Linked DNA regions of Drosophila melanogaster. Changing the gene in region 1 together with any one later gene gives a genetic interaction. Each region holds a gene or a part of one and is shown in the gene's direction. Other genes may lie near its edges. The genes, in order: pim, CycB, gcm and Cenp-C.

The links.
Region 2: of pim (region 1) and CycB, changing one suppresses a phenotype caused by changing the other (phenotypic suppression), as found in Drosophila melanogaster (one study listed by BioGRID).
Region 3: of pim (region 1) and gcm, changing one suppresses a phenotype caused by changing the other (phenotypic suppression), as found in Drosophila melanogaster (one study listed by BioGRID).
Region 4: of pim (region 1) and Cenp-C, changing one enhances a phenotype caused by changing the other (phenotypic enhancement), as found in Drosophila melanogaster (one study listed by BioGRID).

Annotation. Positions count from the first base shown.
Region 1 is NT_033779.5:10,361,209-10,364,650, forward strand, and holds pim (pimples), read left to right. Parts: upstream 1-1,780; 5' UTR 1,781-1,890; coding exon 1,891-1,930; intron 1,931-1,993; coding exon 1,994-2,317; intron 2,318-2,380; coding exon 2,381-2,616; 3' UTR 2,617-2,884; downstream 2,885-3,442. Other genes in the region: Cand1 (Cullin-associated and neddylation-dissociated 1), read right to left, coding at 1-153, 214-376, 458-747, 806-1,189, 1,255-1,299.
Region 2 is NT_033778.4:22,802,955-22,808,497, reverse strand, and holds CycB (cyclin B), read left to right. Parts: upstream 1-1,549; 5' UTR 1,550-1,816; coding exon 1,817-1,852; intron 1,853-1,998; exon of another isoform or gene 1,999-2,206; coding exon of another isoform or gene 2,207-2,224; exon of another isoform or gene 2,225-2,412; coding exon 2,413-2,558; intron 2,559-2,622; coding exon 2,623-2,831; intron 2,832-2,933; coding exon 2,934-3,838; intron 3,839-3,907; coding exon 3,908-4,204; 3' UTR 4,205-4,977; downstream 4,978-5,543. UniProt on the Drosophila melanogaster protein: Essential for the control of the cell cycle at the G2/M (mitosis) transition.
Region 3 is NT_033779.5:9,578,998-9,583,294, reverse strand, and holds gcm (glial cells missing), read left to right. Parts: upstream 1-1,549; 5' UTR 1,550-1,702; coding exon 1,703-2,100; intron 2,101-2,175; coding exon 2,176-3,292; 3' UTR 3,293-3,730; coding exon of another isoform or gene 3,731-3,784; 3' UTR 3,785-3,797; downstream 3,798-4,297. Other genes in the region: CG31709 (uncharacterized protein), read left to right, coding at 3,731-3,784, 3,848-4,202, 4,264-4,297. UniProt on the Drosophila melanogaster protein: Transcription factor that induces gliogenesis. It determines the choice between glial and neuronal fates. Also has a role in the differentiation of the plasmatocyte/macrophage lineage of hemocytes.
Region 4 is NT_033777.3:8,562,335-8,569,785, forward strand, and holds Cenp-C (centromeric protein-C), read left to right. Parts: upstream 1-1,770; 5' UTR 1,771-1,920; coding exon 1,921-1,922; intron 1,923-1,994; coding exon 1,995-2,502; intron 2,503-2,563; coding exon 2,564-3,898; intron 3,899-3,961; coding exon 3,962-5,396; intron 5,397-5,465; coding exon 5,466-6,104; intron 6,105-6,175; coding exon 6,176-6,318; intron 6,319-6,384; coding exon 6,385-6,493; intron 6,494-6,553; coding exon 6,554-6,618; 3' UTR 6,619-6,914; downstream 6,915-7,451. Other genes in the region: mRpS18A (mitochondrial ribosomal protein S18A), read right to left, coding at 78-174; CG31460 (uncharacterized protein), read left to right, coding at 549-552, 609-1,030.

The DNA of each region.
Region 1 (3,442 bases):
AACCTTCCAGCTCATGTCGTCGTCGTCACTGTACTCCTCACTATCGACGTACTCATCATCCTCCGTGTCCATGGCATTGCCAGTGTCGCCATCATCCGTCTCGTAGTTGTAGTTTGGATCGTAGGTGATATAGTTGAGGCACAGCTCCAGGATCTAACAAAACCCATAAGCTATTAAACGTGAATGAGAACATAAAGCATGTGTACTCCTTACCATGGGAATATGCGGGTTTATGGCATCTGGGCAGCGCATGACGAAAGCTTCGCAGGCCTGCAGACAAAACTCGCGCAGCTCATCGTCATCCCGCTGGCTGTACTGGCTCAGCAGGAGCATGGAGCGATCAATGTGATTGCAAAGTCGATGGCCAGCCTGTCGACTAAAGAGTAAAGTTAAATAAAATTGCATCTAAAGATCATATGGCATAAAATATATAACAATTTCAGGAATTGGAACTTACCATATCGAAGCCAGGCACTGAATGTAAGTTCGAATGGCAGCTGGATTTGGTGGGTTCTCTAGGCCATCGAGCAGATGATCGATGACACCGTTGTAGGCGTTGCTATTGGCCTGGATCAGCAGAAATGACAGGGCCACGATGGTACGCTTGCGAACAGCCTGGCGCGATGAGGCCAACTGGGGCATCAGAGCTTTCAGAATGGTGCTGTGGAAGGGAACGAGGAACTCCCCGAAGCGAGAGAGCAGATCGGCCAGAATGTCCAGCGACTCCAGTTTCACAGAGACGTCCTCCTATTAAGGAACAACGGATTAAACGTTTGGGTGCCTAGGGAATAGCAATATAACGCACCTTCTCAATTGCTGTGCTCAGTTTGCCGGTGATCCTTTGACAGACATTTGGGGCCAGGGAGTTTGAGGACTGCGGCAGCTCGGCAATCACTGTCTTTAGGCCAATACTCGATATGTCGCGCAGCTGCTCCGTGTTGGACATCATGTTGGCGCACAGCGAGTCCACGATGGTCTCCACCTGGATCTCCTTCACCTTGTTGACCAGGGGACCCAGGCACTTGACAGCCAGGTTCTGAACTTCGCCGTTCTTGTCTTCCAGCAGCTTGAGCACCATTCGCACCACCTTTTTCTCGGACTCGTCGTCCAGGATGATGCTATCCTTCTGTAGCTCCGTCATCAGATCGTTTGTCGCCATGAAACGGAAGTCCTTGTCCGTCGACGTCATCTGCAGCAGACGAGAGAGCGGAATTAGAATTTCGTTATGTTGCAAAAATGAAATTCTATACATACTTTTTCCAGCAAATTGGCAATTTGGTGGTACTGATGTGACGCCATAGCGAAGGCTTTGAAACGTTCGATCGATAGCAATTAACTGATAAGTGAAATATTGTGTATTTGTATTGGGCTGCCCTATTTTTGGTGTTCTAAAACTTGAAAATTTACTGAAATTTTTCCGGTATTGAATCTCCAAGTTTTATATTCACTCAATTTTGTTATAAAGGCTGCTTAAGTGGGCCCACTTTGAAAAACTAAAAAACCCACTTTATAATCCCTAATGCCTTTTGGATGCCGATAATGGTTTTGGTACATTTTCGTGGTATAAAATACGGTGGAGAAATATTTTGGAACAAGATTTTATGTACTAGTAAATTTTTATATTTAGGTTATTTTATTTTTGAGTTAATACATGACAATCAAAATATAAATATATATATTATCAAATATTAATTCCCAATTTATTTACTAGTAAAATACTTTGTGTCATTACCATCGTTTCAGATGAACGATATATCAGCTATGTGGCACTAAGAGTCTCCCATCTCTAGAAAAGTGCCGCTCGTTTTCAGGAATTATTTTAAACTAAACCGCAGCTCACTGCTAGAATTCAATCAAAATACCTTTTTAACACCAATAAATGCTAACAAAATGGATCAGATTTTAAACAAGGAAAACACCGGCATTAATTGTAAGTTGAATTAGGTTCGACTCCCGTTCGTGTTAGTAATTACATAGCCATTTATCATTGCAGTGCCAGCGAATCCCATTAAAAATGGAGTTCCTACAAATTCCGTATTGAAGAAACCTCTTGGTAACCTTGACAATGTGATGCACCAAACTCCTGGAATAACCCCGTTCAAAAGCACTTCTCTGAAACTCGAGGGTAGTATTGCCAAGCTTTCGCTGCGAAAGGCCCCCAAACAAAATGTGGTCAGCAGGGATCGCGAGGAAGTTAGGTATAAAACAAATAGCTGCTTTTTGGGCGCCTACGTATTGAATTGCGAATACAGAGTCGTCAATTTGTTCAACTACACTGACTTTCCGAACGAGAAATGTTTGAAGAACTGCAGCAAGCGTAAGTACCGCTCATATTAAACAACTCCCCTTGAAAATTGTACTATAAGTTGTATTATTACAGCGGTCACAGAGACCTGGTCGGAAAATCAAGAGGGCTATGAAGGACTATTGGATCAACTTTATCTTGATCTGCGCACATTGGAAAATAATTTGGAAAACAGATGCCTTCCGCCCCTAGATTTTACTGACCTGCCATACATATACAACACAGAAAACATGGAGCCTGCAGAGCCTGAATACTTATTAAATTTATATCCCCCATTGCCTAACTTGGAAGGCATTGATGTTCTATTTTAGATCCTTGTTTAAAAGTTCTATGATTAATTGTAGTTTAATATTTTTTAGCTAGGTATCTTTGTACTACTAATTAATTATTTATTAATGTTATGCTAAGAGAAACTGTTATACCATTAGCTATCCAAGTTTGTTGTCTCGAATCACATTTGTGAAAAATATTTTTTTTACGCTACAATATATTTAGTAGTTTAAGAACCGACATTAAGCCTCCAACAGGCAATTATATGTGTACGATGTACCTCGTTTGGAAGTGATTTTGAATTAAAGCAACTATAAAAACTAACTGGGAGATTAATTTATGGAGCTTTGGAGTTCAGTTGTGAATGTAAACAGAGTTTATTGCTTCCACCTTTTGTCTCTTGATATTTATCAGCATTCGCGGGGCTTAAGTATATTCACTCCGTTTATATTGAATTTGATATTTGGTGGAATAATTCTAATCTATTTTTAGGGTTTCCTCTGTGTTTGCCTAATATGAAAAGTTTATATTTATTTGGGAATTAAACATTTTTGTTCAGTAAACCAAAATATTTTCCCAGCTAGCTAGCTTTTGTTTGCATCTTGTTAGCCTTTTCCCGCTAAATGACGTCTGGCTTTTTTCTGGTGGCCAACAGTTGGCAACACTGCGGCACAGTAATGTATCCAGTTTTTTTTACATTGCTGCAGAAAGGTTTCTCGTCTCGCTGGTGACCTTAGTGGTCCGTTCTCCTGGATAAAATAAAAGTGAAAATTAACAATATGAGTGTATAAAACGAAATGTAAATGCAAAAGAGGTATAAATCTAACAAATAAACATATACTCGTGCAAATGAACATAAAAAGACTC
Region 2 (5,543 bases), on another chromosome or scaffold:
TACGGGGCTCCAACTTTTACGGCTGTTAATTCAAATGTTTATGCACTAATTAATTGCCCAGGCATTGCATTACGAGTCATTTGTTGTGGGCCACTTTTTTTTTTTTTTTGCACTCTATCTTATTTATGTTTCGTTTTATTTTAGTGGCTGGTGTACTTTAGTTTGTTGCCTAAGTTCTTCCTTATGGATCGACACTCGAGATAAGACCAAATGGTGCTTGAAAAATGCTATTTTAGCTCCAGCTCCAGTTCTGAATTGCCAATATATTGTACATATAATGCCAGTCTTTTGTCATTTAAACGCACTTGATTTTATTTAAACGCCAGCGCACAATTAAGCAGCCAGCAACAAACACACACGGCATATAGATCATCGGCTCTGGAGCATAACGATCTTCTGGTTTTATGTCCATAGCCGAAAAGCACTTTATATGTATATTTTTTAACTAAAAATCGCTAAATCACGCCGAAATCTGACCGCTTTGGGGCATTTAAAATTTGAAACGATTTACTGGAGGTCAATGCGCGTTGGATCGATCGAAGGACTTTTTTCGTGGCGACGAAAGAGACGGCGACAGAAGCGCAGAAAGAGGCGGCGAGAGCGAGGCAACCACTCGCGACGGCGGCACTTTTGCGAATGAAATGTGAAAATCACGGAAAACTCGAGCTCGCGATCGTCGGCTGGCGCTCCATTCTCGTTCGGCTTTTTGGCCGGAGTTCGCAAAAGTACTTTTGGAGCGCAAACAGACTCATAAATATATGCTAATGAGCCAGAGCGCCGGAAGAAGAGAAGAAGAATGCGCCAACCGTTAAGACGCAGCAAAGGGCCACAAAAAAAAAACAGGAGAGTTTGGGGTACTAAACAAAAACAGAGGCAAAATTCTGAGGCGATGGCGATTGTTTTGTGGTCAAGTGCTTGAAAATGATGGAGCAGACGAAAACTTGACACTGATCATCAGCAAAAAAGGCTGCGGAGTGGCAAGAATTATGCTGCATTTCCGCCGCGGAGTTTCGATGTTCTGCGGCCTGTGGCAGCAGGAAATCTTAAATCAGCGAATGCAAATCAGGGGGGCACAAAAACAAACCGAACACAGCCAATTGAAGTGATCAACTTTTAATTGATGCAATCAATGGATGGTGCAACCGAGTGACGACTGGCAGTCAAAGCGATGGCTTTATTAAAATGGGGAACCTTAACCAACTATCAAATTTAATCCATGAAGTTTTCATTTTTAAAATATGTATAAAATGGATTGAGCTTGAATATCTAACAGAAATTTCAAACTGTAACGTTTTCTTTTTCGGCTAATTTTAAATTTAAATTTGAAATTTATGGGTAGCACTGTTTCAGCCCTGTCATCGATAAGCTGTGCACCAGTACTGGTCACACTAAAACTATCGAAAATTATCGCACGTATCGCATCTCTATTTTGCATGCTCTGCTCTAATAAATCGATTATTCTCGAGCGCCACTGCGGCTTAAAAGGGAACTAAGTCCAGAAATCGATATCGTCAAACTCATCGGCATTTATCATCGAGTTTACTTCCATCCCCATTCCCATTTTCAAATTCAAACGGCAGCTTGGCCTCGCTTCGTGTGCAAAAACTCGATCAGGTTTTCGGAGAATTGACAATCCCGCACTCGACTTGTAAATTATAAACTATTAGTAATCATATATTCGGACAACAAATTCAACAGCTAAACAAGCGTTCGGTCACAGAAACGCGATCAAAAGTCAACCAAACCAAGTGATAGCCAAGCGTCTGCCTATCTTCGTGTTAATTGTGTTTGTACAGATAGAAAAGAAGCAATCAAAATGGTGGGCACAACACTGAAAATGCGTGGCGATGAGGTGAGTTGATCCCTAGAACATTAAGATTACCGTGGCATCCGCGAAAAGGTCATGGTAAAGTCACAAACTAGTGGGCTCGTCATCAGCGAGACGCCATTGCAGCGTGGTCATGTAGAGAGGGGCAAAGAGGACGCTGCGATAGTGCGATGAGTGTGTGAAGGGAGGGGGAAAAGAAAGAGTGCCGTTTGTCCCGGGCGCTCATTGTTGTCGTTGTTGCAGTTGCCTTGCTCACATTTTGGCGCAATTTTCTACCGGCGGTGCTTGCACCGTTAATTAGTACTCTCCACACCTATTTTTCGCACCAAATCACAGAGGAGATAAATCGAGGATCAGTCTTGCGGTGCTTTTCCCAAAATGGCCGCCCTTGAAAAGGTGCATTTCATGATCAAGTCATTATTATGCAACAAACTGATCTTGCTTTAACAATTTAAAATAATTAAAATCAGTGCTCAATAATTAAAGATGTTAAAGAATAGGGTTCAAAGTGCAGATATGCATTCAACTATACTTGTTGCACTTCTCCATTTGTTTTCTAAAACTAATTAAACAATATTCGATAGAACGCTTCGGAGAACTTCAAGCAAGTGCAATTGAAGAAATTGACGGTTCCTTCCATGGAGGCAACAACAAAACGCGCGGCCTTGGGCGATTTGCAGAATCGCGGCATAAGTCGTCCCATCGCAGCGAAGGATGCGGCACAGAAAGAGTAAGTGTTTGAACCAGTATCAAGTATTCCATTCGCAATCACATGTGGTTACTCCACCGAGCAGCTCCAAGGATCTCAAGCTCACAGACGCCCTGCGCAATGCCAAAGCTCGGGTGGACAGCCACTGGAAGAAACAGCCACTGGGCAGCACCAATGGCAATGGCAATGGCGCCGTTCCGCCCAAGGTCAACGAGGGGGGCGTGTCGGCGTTTTTGCGTTCGAATTCGGTGCGCAATCGCGTTCCGACCAAGACCACTGTAGAACCCACTAAAGGTAAGCAAAAGAGCAATCATCTACCAATCATCATCATCTACCATTTCCAATTTTTGAATGGCTTGCATCATACTGACCCCAATTCATCTTGAATCCCCAAAGTTACAGTCAAGTCCAGTTCTTCCGAGAACGTGAACGAGCCCACCTTAAAGCGCGAGGACAGCAATCTGTCGAAGAAGTCGCTGACCAAACTGCGTGCCGCTTTGGCCAAACCCGTGATGGGAGTTTCAGGAATTCGACGGGAACCAGTAGCTGTTTCCCGCAAAGAGGCAGAGACCAAGAAGGAACTGCCAGAAACCAAGAAGGACTCACTGGAAGTGAAAAAGGATGCGACCAGGATGCCCCTTATTAGGGGCAACAGTGCAGTCACTACGACCACATCTACGATGCCCACCACCATGTCCCTTTCCAGCAAGCGCTTGGCTGGAATCGAGGACATTGATGCCAATGACAAGGAGAACCTGGTACTGGTCTCCGAATATGTAAACGACATCTACGACTACTTGTATCAGGTGGAGCTGGAGCAGCCCATTCACAAGGATCACCTGGCCGGACAGAAGGAGGTGTCCCACAAGATGCGAGCCGTGCTGATCGATTGGATCAACGAAGTCCACCTGCAGTTCCATCTGGCTGCAGAGACCTTCCAGCTGGCGGTGGCTATCATTGATCGCTACCTGCAGGTGGTCAAGGACACCAAACGCACGTACTTGCAATTGGTGGGAGTGACAGCACTCTTCATAGCCACCAAGTACGAGGAGCTGTTCCCGCCGGCAATCGGAGATTTCGTCTTCATCACGGACGACACCTACACTGCCCGGCAGATCCGACAGATGGAGCTGCAAATCTTCAAGGCCATCGACTGTAATCTGTCGCGTCCGCTGCCGATTCACTTCCTTCGACGCTACTCGAAGGCTGCTGGCGCCGAGGACGAGCACCATACGATGTCCAAGTACTTCATCGAGTTAGCTTCCGTGGACTACGAAATGGCCACTTACAGGCCATCGGAGGTGGGTTTCAATACACTATCCCCTTTTATTTAGCATAGGTATATGTAATATTTTTTGCGGCGCCTTTAGATTGCAGCTGCCTCACTGTTCCTGTCGCTGCACTTGCTCAATGGAAACCACCGGGCCGGTACAGGATTCAACGACCGTCACTGGACGCCCACTCTGACCTTCTACTCGCGATACTCGGCCGCGCACTTGCGTCCGATTACCCGGCTGATCGCGAAACTGGCCCGGGACGCTCCTCAGGCCAAGCTGAAGGCCATCTACAACAAGTACCAGGGCAGCAAGTTCCAGAAGATCGCGCTGCGAACGGAGCTGACCGGTGCGCTGATGGACTCGATTGTGGGCCAGAGCCAGAGGAAATAGTGCGGTCCAAGGCGGACTGGAAGACCCTGACTTACCTAGTTTAGTTTAATTTGTTTTCATTTTTAAATTTGTAGCGTATTTCATTTTCTGTTCGTTTCGTGTTCGTTAAAAAATGCGTATAGTTACCGTAGTCGCATTGCCAACTATCTTTACCTGCATCACCCATCCCTAAGATATCGTAATCTGCTGGAGTCCCTTGAGCAGTTTTCGGCTACTGCCAAGAGCTGGCTCCGGCATCTTTGCCCACGGAGCACAAGTTGCTCGCGAGCCGGCCGCTGGGAGTGAGTTCCTCCGGTAAGACTAGGAACCGAACTAAACTGGAGCCCGTCAGCTCCTTTCGCTGGGTCACCATCTCAGTGGGAGCGAGCGGCGGAGCGGTGGACACCGAGAGAGAGAGTGGGCAACGAGTTCATTTGCTGGCCGAACACATCGGCGTTGTCTCTCCAAGAATTATATTTTATAATTGTACCCGTGAAATCATTTCATCCCCTACCTACCTATCACTAATTGTATTTGTCGTTAGTTTTTAGTTTCGATGGGAATGAATAAATCCAAAAAATTGTGCAAAATTATTCCCATAAATCGCATAAAAAAGAGACGTAGACTATTTGTAATTTATATCATGTATTTCGCACATTCATACAAAAACAACTTATGCTAGTTATATTGTTTACCACTAAGCAACGATTAAAACACGTTTTAACTAACTGATGTTTCCCAAAAATGTCTCTGAACAATACATAGAAAATAAAGTTTTGTATAATTTTATAAACAATATTCGTGTTTACCTTGCATGCAATGTGCCGCCATGTGACTTCATTAGTTTTGAAATCTTTCCGACAGCTGATAAGTGTGAGAAATTTTCCACACCCCTAAAAAAACCAGACAGCCTGAGATGAACGCAGACCCTTTTCCAAGGACGGAGGTCCTTTTGTCCTGCATTCTTATCAATCCTGAATACACAATATATGTACAGTGATATACCTCTGTATACCCTGCACCTATGTACATACATACAAACATATGTATAGTCGGCGCCCCTGGGGAAGGTCACCTTCCCGATCGCAGGTCAGTTACTTCTCTTCCGCTTCTCCCTTTCCTTCTTCCCTTTTTAACGCTTTTCTCTCCCTTTTTTTGGTACCGTGTTCCATGGGCAACGGTAATTGCCGAGCACATTGCTCGCACATGGTTGTGCGTGTGTGTGTGTGGGTGTCTATCTCACTTTTCTCATGTACAGTAGTTACTCGATACAAAGCCAAATAAAGGCAACCTTATAGTTAAGTTCTTAAGAAACATATAAGCGAATTATCGAACGAATATTTCAAATAGTTTTCGTTAG
Region 3 (4,297 bases), 780 kb from region 1:
GTGATGTCTCGTAATTGAAACGGAACAGTTAATTCCGGGCATCATTAAGGCGACACACCCACCTTGAGTGCGGGAATCTGGGACCAGGTAGGATGTGCTTCCCCAGCACAGCCTCATAATATGCCACGTCATGACTTTCTTCTGTGTCAACGCCCCTCGAGTCCCGGTCGGAGCACCCTTTCCCATTGTCCGCCGTAATCCTTTGAGTTCCTATCGCGTGCTACGATCCTGATCTTTGGGCGACTCCTTGGCAGAAAGGCGCCGCGGGTTGCTCGCTCAGTTCGTGTCATAATTGCATGGCATTTGGTCTGTCGTGGAAGTGTGAAAATTATGGAGTTTCCTCACCCTTTCGTCATCTTAATGATTATGTTTGTTTCGTTTATCTCTGACTTGAGATCGCCAAGGGGCCCAAGGAATTTGTTTGGCAAACTTTGCTTCATTCATATGCGTGAGTTATGGCATTTGCCTTTGGGTTTGTAGGGGAGGTTTTCCAATATGGGATTTCTTCTTTTTGATTTCCGTTTTTTTGCGTGCTAAATTGTGTTTTACGATTATGAGATCCCTGATTTCATCTTGAAGATATCGGCAGGAGCTCGACATTTCGGTTTCTTTTTTTGCAAACGTTTATTTCTTTATCGATTTTGAGATCGTGAGAAGTAGTTCCGTTAGCTATACCGTTGCCTTACCAAATTCTATAATAGTGACTATATATAGTGGTAATATTTCTATATTTCTGTGAGTCATTTCCATTAAAATTTACGTTTGATTTTGAAATTTTTTTACAGAATAATTTCTACCTCTGAAGTTAAGTAGATTTAGCAGCTTTAATGTCCGCATTAAAAAAGTCTTAAAGCCTTGAACTAAATTACTTTCCGTGCTTCGTTGGAACCATCTCCATTTTGTTCGTAACTCTGCTTGCCCTCCAACCATTTCACTTTGCTCCCCATTTCGACATCCACATCCAGTTCGAAAGTAAATAGGCCCGACCACTGGCATCTGCCAGTGACTGTCGCCAGGTGTACCCATCAGAACCCATGCCATACAGCACATCCCCATCCACACACAGCCCCATCCCCATCTCCATTTCCATTACTGATGTTGTAAACTTTTTTTCTGAACTTAATTAGCTTTGACTGGGGTTGGGGCCGTGTTCTTTGCCATCGAGTGCCTCAAACCCCTGGTTCTCATATCGTACAATTACCCAGTGGAGCGCGTGCTGCAACCGCAGGTGCTAGAGCAGCACAGCACTCGTCTCCCTGCCCAGTTGCCAGTTCCCAGCTCCCAGCTCCCTGTGCTCAAGCTCTCCCAGCTCCCAGTTCCCTATAGAACGAATTCTCCATCTCCAGCTGCTGCTACCACTACTACCAATCAAACCTGCTCGGGAACTCTCCTAATTTCCCAAACTGGAGTGCCGGATAAGGCGGATAAGCCGCACACAAGCGCACCCGAACTGGAAGTCAGCATGGACCAATGGGCGTACCGCTTTGCGACCGAGCAACCCTCGTGCGATTCGACCGCTGGCAACTTAACTGTGCTGCGCAGAGCGGGCCCAGTTAGTCAGCCTTGCGCAGTCGATGCGAACGGACGCGTCGCTCCAGAGAAAAGTTGAGAAGAAGTACACAGTAGTAATAGACTATTGAGAAGGAAAACTATAGTGACCGCGTGTGAACTTGAAACTAACGATTACATAGACACATCAAAAATGGTTTTGAACGGCATGCCTATAACAATGCCAGTACCGATGCCAGTGCCCATGCCTGTGCCCAGTCCTCCGGCCACCAAGTCCCGGGTGGCGATCGACTGGGACATCAACGATTCCAAGATGCCGTCGGTGGGGGAGTTTGACGATTTCAATGACTGGTCCAACGGACATTGCCGGCTCATCTACTCCGTGCAGAGTGATGAGGCCAGGAAACATGCCAGCGGTTGGGCCATGCGAAACACCAACAACCACAACGTGAATATCCTAAAGAAGAGCTGCCTGGGAGTGCTCCTCTGCAGTGCCAAGTGCAAGTTGCCCAATGGAGCCAGTGTGCATCTGAGACCCGCCATTTGCGACAAGGCCAGAAGGAAGCAGCAGGGCAAACAGTGTCCCAATAGGTGGGTTTTTGACTAAACACAAAATCCAAGAATTGTCAAAACTAACTCGGTATTTTTATTTTTTTTTCTTGACAGAAATTGCAATGGTCGCTTGGAAATCCAGGCTTGCCGCGGCCACTGCGGCTATCCAGTGACCCACTTCTGGCGCAGGGACGGAAATGGAATCTATTTCCAGGCCAAGGGCACCCACGATCACCCCAGACCCGAAGCCAAGGGATCCACGGAAGCCAGGCGACTTTTGGCAGGAGGAAGACGTGTGCGAAGTTTGGCCGTAATGTTGGCCAGGGAATCGGCGCTGAGCGACAAGCTGAGTAGCCTGAGACCCACAAAACGGCAGGCCAAGACTCAGTCCATCCAGGAGAGCAAGCGCAGAAGGATGGGTGCTTCCGATGTGCTCGAAACCAAGCAGGAGTTAGTGGTGCCACCCACCACCTACCTGCCCACATCGACGCCCACACATAGCACCAACTTTAATCAATCTCAGGGTTCATATGTCCCAGCAGGACAAGGATCAGTGATCAGTCAGTGGAATAGAGAGATTCACTACGAAACGGAGGATCCATGCTATGCCAATGGAATGTACTCCTACGATATGCTCCACTCACCTCTCTCAGCGCATAGCTCCACGGGCAGTTATTACCAGGAGAACAAACCGCAGCAACTGCAGCACTCACAATACCAGCAGCAACTCTCACCGCAGCAACATGTACCAGTCAGCTATGATCCCAGCCAGCCAATCTCCTCCAGCCTTCAGTGCGGAATGCCTTCGTATGAAATATGCGACGATACGTCCAGTTTGACCAGCAGCTCGGGCTACTGTTCCGAGGATTATGGCTACTACAATGGATATCTACCCAACTCGCTGGACGTGAGCAATGGAAGCCAAAGCCAGAATCTTAGCCAGGATGCAAGTTTCTACACAACCAGCTCGGAGATCTTCAGTGTGTTTGAGTCAACTCTGAATGGCGGAGGGACCAGTGGCGTGGATCTCATCTACGACGAAGCAACCGCCTATCAGCAACATCAGCAACAGGGAACTTTTCCGCATCTCACCAATTATCAACAGGAGCCGCAGGATCAGATGCAGTCCGCCGACTACTACTACAGCAATACGGGAGTGGACAACTCGTGGAACATTCAAATGGACGCGACATATCACCCAGTCAACAGCACGGATCCCATCTATTGCTAGGGGATCGGGATAAGATCTCTCATCGCAACTACTATTACTGAGCCACTCAAGCGTTGTTCTAGTCCCTAGTTGATTGATTTCCATTCATGTTCCCATTGCTTGTTGGTCGTGTATTATTATATATTGAACGTTTCTAGTTTGTACTTTTGTACTTGTTTCCCAGCTATTCCAAAGTTTTAGAGCACGTAAGAGTAATAGTATTCTTAAGCACATAGAGTTTTAAGTCACATTTCCCACCTATTTATGAACTTTTTTGTAGTAATAAACATTTTTGAAAGAAAAACTTAATCGAAGCAGCCTTTTTTTGAGAATTGACACGTGTCAAGCAAGGGAGCTCGTAATCATTGTCAGTATAACATTACCAGCGGCAGGATATACAACTAGGGATTTTCCTCAACAACAAGTTTAAATTCGTTAGTCAACCAAAATCGTGTAACAATGGGTGCTTGTCGCCCTAGAAAATGTAGTGCAAATAACCGAACTATGGCAATTGTGAGTACTAAATAAAGGCCTAAACAAATAACAATGAATAAAACCAAATTTTGTATTGAGAAGCGTCGCCGTAGAGCTCTAGTTAACTTGCTATTTTTGCGCCGTCATTTGATTGGACAGGCACTTGGAATTACGAATCGGGAAACTCCAGACCTTAGGGTAAAATCGCGGCGACGCAATCGTAGAAGGAGAATGCAATTCAGAGTCCGTACACCAAGTGATAATGCAATGCGCTCAGTAAGGCATCATGGACAGAATCCAATCAGCCCAGGATCACGGCTACAACGAAATAATCCACTTTGGGGACACGCCGACATTATAACCACAGATAGAGCGTTGGAAGCTTTAAATGGACTTACTACAGGGAACAGGGAACCAAATGCATTGTCAGTAATGGTGCGATATACCAATGGGCGGTGTAAGTTGAGCTGTACTTATTGCTAATACAATGAAGTGCATAATTAATACTCTCTTATTAGATTATTTAAGCTTAGAGCCAAGTGGAAATCAGCA
Region 4 (7,451 bases), on another chromosome or scaffold:
GAAATTCGAATTAATTTTAAAGATGTGCATTTATTTGAGGGGTTATGAAACACTTCACAGAGGTCTCTGTAACTCACTCTCTTTTATTTGCCTTGGCATTGTGGTGGCTACGCCACGCACCTGAGCAATGGTACTTCGTACTGTCCTGGTGGCCAATTGCAACACAAAGGACATGTTGAAGGCGTTTTTTATTTACAATTTATTAAAATTGTGCTCAAGTGTAATGTTGTTACTACAAATGTCATTCACCACGAAAGCCGCAGCGTTGCCACATCAATTGATTTAAATATTACTTCTCAAAAAAAATTATCGATGTCAGTATTTAAATAACGATATCTGTTTTTATTTTTATTGCAAGCACAAATTTGTCATTCGAGAATTTTTCATGTAAATACGTAAAAAAAATAGAGAAAAATGCCTGCCTAACGAATAAAACTTTGTTTAGTCGTTACATACTGGAATATCCCTTGTATTATCAAATATCAGTTTCGATAGTTCGATAATTCACTACACGTATAAGAAAGACGCCGGCTGGAAGAAAAAGTAATATGTGTAAGCAAATGCAAGGAAATTACGGCCAACAAAAACTAAACTCTGAACCTTTGCAGCCGCTTCAGTGAGCAGTAAGAGCACCGTGGTATCCTCCATCATCTCGGGCCTCCTGAGCATTGTTTTGTTCGGCACACTGCGTTTCTGCTCAGAATGGTTTAACGACTCGCAGCTGAGGGTCCTTTTGGGCGGATACCTCTTCTCCTGGGTGTTCATCCTGAGCCTCACGTGCGTCTCCAACGCGGAGATGGTTGTTTTCGGCCAGGACTTCCAGGCCAAGCTGCTACCAGAGATTATTTTCTGTCTCTCACTCACGGTGGCCGCCGCGGGACTCGTGCATCGTGTCTGCGCCACCACCAGTGTTCTCTTTTCCCTGGTGGGGCTCTACTTCCTTAACAGGATCTCCACGAAGTATTACTCCGTTCAGGTGCCCAGCGTGGATGCTCCTACGACGAGAAAGGGCGGAAAGAAGTTCAAATGAACCATTCGTCTGCTTCTTATTTCATTACTAACACATTCGAATACCTAATCTTTAATAACCTTTAATAAATAACTAACTTATAAAGTCATGTCAATCGGTCACTTTGAAGCTATCCAAGCTCCATTATTACAGTTGGCCAGCCTTATACTACTGAGTATTGGTGCTGTGGAATAGGGGATCTTATTGGGAATTCATGAATTCAGTTAAAAAACTCCAATCTCTGGTTATATGGATATCGTAATCCTTTTCCAACAGAATCAAAACCTCGAACGCAAAGTCGTTTTCACAGCGTCTCTATTGCATGCCTTCTCGCAGAAAATGTATAGCTCCACTTTTTGGTTGCTTTTCAAAGCTGCTTCCAGTTGTTATAAAGTGAATTCGAACAAATAGATCAATCTGAAAAGTCGGTTTAGTTTGCTTTAAACATTTTGGATTTGTTTTGTCAACAAAAATTGCCGGCAAAGTGTGACCAGCTTGCGTTTTACGCGTTTAGTATATTTTAGTAATGAAATACTGCATATAATGGTTGCCTGCTGGTCAACGCTTTCGAGTATATTTTCAATAAAAACTTTTGAAATAAACTCAGCTGTATTTAACAATAACTGTTTAAAAACGATTGCATCATGCATTTGTAATTATACAGGGTGATGTCTTATTATTATCAAAGAAACTTTTAGATATTTATAGCTCTTTTCTGATAGTCTATTCGAGCGCTCTGGCAACACCCCACCTAGGCGCGCCTACAGACGTTACTGGCAACGCCAAATGAATAGCGTCGCGTCTTTTTTGTAGTTTAAAATTTTGTGGAGTTTTAGCGAAATAAGTTAAGTTTATTGTTGTCGTGTATGTAACTTCGTGAAGAATCCTTTTTTCAAGTTTCAATTGCAAATATGTAAGTTGCCACCGCGAGCATGCCATAGGCAAGAGAACATACAAACTCCGAGCTCACCCGTCTGTTTTTCAGGTCGAAGCCCCAGAACAACGACACTCTGGAGCTGGACGACATCCTAAGCCAGCCAGTGAAGGACAAGGAGCGCTTCGCCGCCTTTATGATGCGCAAGCTTGCCGAAAATAAGCCGGCACAGAATGACAATCTCTTTGGAAACTTCAAACTTGACTTTGACCTTGATTTCGAGGTTCCACTGATCAAGAAGTCTCAGGCTAAGCCCAAGTCCAAACTACCAGAAGTACAGCCCCTTGGGGAGTTGGTCAGCAAAAACAGTGCCGCCACCGAGAAAGTCAATGAGCCGCCTGTGGACCAGGCCCCCAATGAGAACGTGCCTCCGCGTCGATCGCCAACATTGTCGCCCAATAACCGACGTTCCATGCGCCGCAGTGGAAATGTACCCGGATCTGATAAACTACGTCGACATGCCATCCGCCGGCGGTCCAGGAGCTGTGGACGCCAATTGCTTCCAGAGTTTGAGGAGACCGTAAACTTGACCCGCAGCATATCAAGTCCTGTAAACTTCGTATGTTAAATACATGTCCCACAAATACCTAATCCTTGTACTAACAACAATGCTCTTTTAGTTACCAGAAATAAGCAGCACACCTTGCACAGAGAAACAAAAAGAGGAAGTTGCCAAAAATACAACAAGAGTGGAAACTGATAAACCAGCGGAAAAACCTATGGAACTATCACAAGAACCAGAGCCGGAAAATCCGCTGCAGACAAAGGTGACCTCACCTGCCAGGAACCCTATTCTTGCAGCTGAAATTGAACAAATCTGCAAAGAGCGACAGAGTTCCTTTCACAAGAATGTACTGCAGCTGGACTATTCTGGACGGGCACCGTACTCGCGACCCCCTACTCCGTCATCACCATCCGTTGCGGGCCTACGACGTACCTACACAATGGAAAAGGGCCCAGCTCCAGGCCAGCTGCTGCTATCGCCATCACATCGCTATGACACACCGAGCAAAATGCCAGTAGTTAAGGCAAAGCGGTTCAATCAGGAGTTAATGGTCCCGGACACGCCAGAGCGACAAAGTCACGACCCAGCCTGGCAATCAGAGCCCCAACCGGAGTTCGTAGTGCCGGAAACCCAGCCGCAGGATCTGGGAGAGTTGGTGCAGACTCTGTCGCGCAGCGCGATCAGCCCAATTGTGGTGATAAACACATCCAATTCGAATCGTAGTGTAAGAAGGGACGCTGTCGCAATGAAATCTGTTCCGACTTCGCCAGTTACGGCGTTATCTTCACCACCGATTGCGCCTTCTCCTAGGCGATCCGCCGCTGCCTCTCCCCAGAAATCCATTGCACAACTGCCGCGGGTGGAAGAAAATATGGATGCCATAATGACCGACGACGAAAGCGACGAACATCCCAGCACTGTGCCATTAAATCTAGCTCCTTCAGGTGGGAACACAACCCGGCAACGGCGTTTGCGCAGTAGTAATCGGGCTCGAGCTACAATCGAATCTCAGGAGAGCTCTATGCGCTTGCTTAACCTTCACAAGTCGGTCAATGCCAAAAAGTCAAAGCCGCGAAAGACTGCTATACCGCTGAATAAGGCTCCAAGTGCCCCCATTAATGGCGAGCAGTTTGCCCGCGAGCTAACCCGGATGAGCAACTACGAGATTTTGGATTTGCGCAAGCGCAACTCGTTGAACGAGATATATCCTTTAAATGGGCACAGAAACCATCGTTCAGAGAAGCTTATCCTAGAAGAAGAGATTCAGAGGGAGCTGCTACGTAGAAATCTAATGGATGAGGCCGAAGGTTTGCCAAAACAACAGTCCTCGGATGATTCGAATGAAGACTATATACCGGTTCCGCCAAAAACACAAAGTCTTCGAACTAAAAGCAATGATCGATCGCAGGGACGAGGGCGACCACGATCTACTCGTCGTGATCTTCCAATGGTAAGTTCAAGATCGCTTATATGTTGCGAAGGAAAAAAAAAACCTTTTTTCCCCGTTTTGCAGACAACAGAATTGGTAAACTATTTGGGTCTCTCCCAGACTTTAGAGACTCGACGCAAATCTTCAAAGGACGGCAAGCGTTGTCTGTACACAAAGGGTAGCTCGGACCATGAAGATAACGATTCATTATCACCTGTAAAATTGCCAAGACTAAGCAAGAGCATCCAAATTGTTCCGCCACCTCCAGTTTCACTGCGCTATTCGCAATCTTTGCAAAATCTGCCCTGCTCCGGAAAATTTGATTTCGATAATGTCGTGATGGCAGCCCCACCAGATTTCCATGATAGTGTAAATAGTGATGCAATTGAGATTGCTCCCCCGCCTCCAGAGTACGTTGTAAATACACGGGGCAGAAGCACAAGTGGGCGAAAGAGCAATAAAAATGACCTGGTTTTACCTCCACCGGGGTACGAAGGGGGCCAGGAAGAAGAACATGATGAGCGACCAAGCCAGCCGCGTTGCACAGCCAAAGAACTTCAACAATCCACTCAGAATGGACGAAGGGCGATGGAGAACGAACTGGTACCACCTCCTATCGAATATGTTGAAGAAGAGAATCGCAACAATGAGCAATCAAGGAGATCGACGAAAAATGGCAATCTTGTTGATCGAAATACACATAACGCAGTAGAATATTGTGAACCGCCAGAGCCACCAGAGTACGACGATAGTGACCATGGGCAAGCAAGTATACTGAGGAGAAGTGGAAAAAAATTGCAGCACTCCAAACAGAGTGTACAAAAGTCCAATAAGGAACAAATTATTGCACCTTCGTACGAAAATAACGAAGACTATGACAGTGACGAGGAACCAATTTACAATGAAGAATACGGAAAAGAGGAATCTCAAAATAAAAATGTCACTAGAAGAAAGAGCGATAAGGATGAAATGGCATCACATACATTAGAATGTATTGAAGGTCCAGATCCAAATTGGAATTCGTCCTGTAACAAACAGAATCGTAATCACCAGAACGCATCAAAAAGCAAAGAAAATGATAAGTTAGCCAATCGTTCATCTAAGTCCCAGAAACTCTCAAATCCCCGCCAGAATGCAGTTGGTACAGAAAAATCCGTAGCTCTAAGCAATCGAGGGGAAGAATGTACCGAGAAATCATCAGACGTTATGGAATCACTTCGCGTTAACACACCCACTCCTCCGATTGATCAAAACTCAGATGATGTTCCCAGCAGAAATCCATCTCCCAGTAGGACTCTTTTGTCTGACGACGTACCCAGCACGAGTAGAGCGGCGTTGGAGTTTTTGCAGCGTAGTCAGAACATGTCAAAGAGTCGTCCCCCGGATGAATCAAGCGCGGATGTGGTGTTCAAGAAACCATTGGCACCTGCACCAAGGGCGAAATCAAAAAAAGGGAAGTCTGAAGTAGACAAATTAAAGCTGGCCAAAATGCCGGTGGAAGCTGAGGAACTAAATACTAGTGAGTATATTCAATAATAAATGTTTTGATAAAATTAAATGTATGCTCTATTATTTTCTGCTCCCTTAGCCGGTATTCGGAGATCAAAGCGCGGTCAAGTTCCACTTCAGATGAGTTGGTGTCACACCATGGATCCTAGCAAGTTTAACTTTATGAGTGGCTTCATAGAGCCTCGCAGCAAAAACTCAAAGACGAAAAAGGGAAATTTGAGTAAGGCGAAGAAAGCCAGTGCCACAAAGCCAAAGCCTACTGTAGAGAAGAACTTACCCGACAACCGGGGACCATTGTGCAGCAGTACCCCAAGAATTTCTGAAAAGCTGCCAGGGGCCATACCGCATTCCGAATCCCTTGGCCTGAGTACCTTGACGTGGGAAGAAACTGAAGTGCAAGCAGAGGCTGAGAAGGTGCCCAAGAAAAGGGGACGACCAAAGAAGGCAGTTGGAGGTGTCCAAACTGATACGGAGGCTGAGCCAGAACCAGAGCCAGAGCCTATGATATCTTCGGTTGCTCCACTTACAAGCGATCAGGAAGAGCCTGACGTTCCTGACGAGCAGGCGCCTTATACGGAAGCTGCGCTAGGTCCCGTCGTATTTTCAACTCCCCTGAGAGACGAGCAGGAAGAAGCCTCCACTAAACTGATGCAGTGGCTGCGTGGCGTCGGCGATGCACCACCCAGTGCAAGTATGTCGGATGAAAACGCCAGTGTCTGTAAGTGTAAAATCTATAGAAATTGAATCCATATAGCTTATTTATTAATAATTGCTATTTTTCATTGCCAGCTTCTGCAAACGAATTGATTTTCTGTCAGGTAGATGGTATCGACTACGCTTTCTACAATACAAAGGAGAAAGCAATGCTGGGTTATATGCGATTCAAGCCATACCAAAAACGTAGCATGAAACAAGCGAAAGTCCATCCACTTGTAAGTAAAATATAAGATTATTCCCATTCAACTCGCAGATCATTTTAAAACCTATTCTGCTTTTAGAAACTCCTTGTGCAATTTGGCGAATTTAATGTGGAGACCTTAGCCGTGGGCGAAGAGAAGGAAGTCCATTCTGTTCTGCGTGTTGGTGACATGATCGAGATAGATAGGGGTAAGATATTGCTGAATAATATTTATTATATATTATTTGAATGTTTCTTTTCTTCCTTAGGCACTAGGTATAGTATTCAAAATGCGATAGATAAAGTCAGTGTGCTGATGTGTATACGCAGTTAGTAATTGCTTTGTAATTTATATACGGATAAGTATTGAGCCGATTTATATTTCTTACGTTTTCGCCACAGAAAATAAAAATAATAAAGAGTTGTTTTGTTAAAATATGTAAGACCGACATAGTTTTTTCATGTATTTTAAGTAGCAAAGGTGATAGACCCACGCCATAACTTCGGGTCATATCCTAGCTGCTTAGAATTTCAAGTTCATTTTATTTCCATTTTCTTTGAAATTCACAAGTCGCTCGCCGTGATGTTGATGGCATTGGAGACTTCAAAAGCGAAATGGCAAACAGGGGTAACAACGCCAGAAAGAACAAATAAGCAGGCAACTTTCAAAACAATCTGCACGTCTGCTTTGTATGGCAATTTTTAAAAAAGCACACACACAAATCACACGCAGCAGGAACACAAACATAAATTTGTAAAAAAAAAAAAAACAAAACAAAAATTGAATCAACAGAAACTTTTCCGGCAGGTGTGCCAGTGCCTGCATCCCCACACGGGACTTGGAACATCGTTTAAAATTAACAAAACACCATCTAACATTCATTACAGCAGTGTCAACCCTTTGATCATCCCACACGCCGCACTCTATTACGAGTTTCCCGGAAAATACCTTGCAAATAAAAGGAATTAATAGAACGATTTTATATATAGATAATCTTATATATATTCTTTAGTTCACTTGATTGGTTTAAAATATGTTAATGGGAAGCTAAAAAACTAAATATTTTATATTCACATGCTTGCACATGTTCTCGGTTCACATATTTTCGCCGAGTGTGCACAGACAATTGAATCGGAATTTTTCAGGTCTCGCTTAGGCAGCTGGAC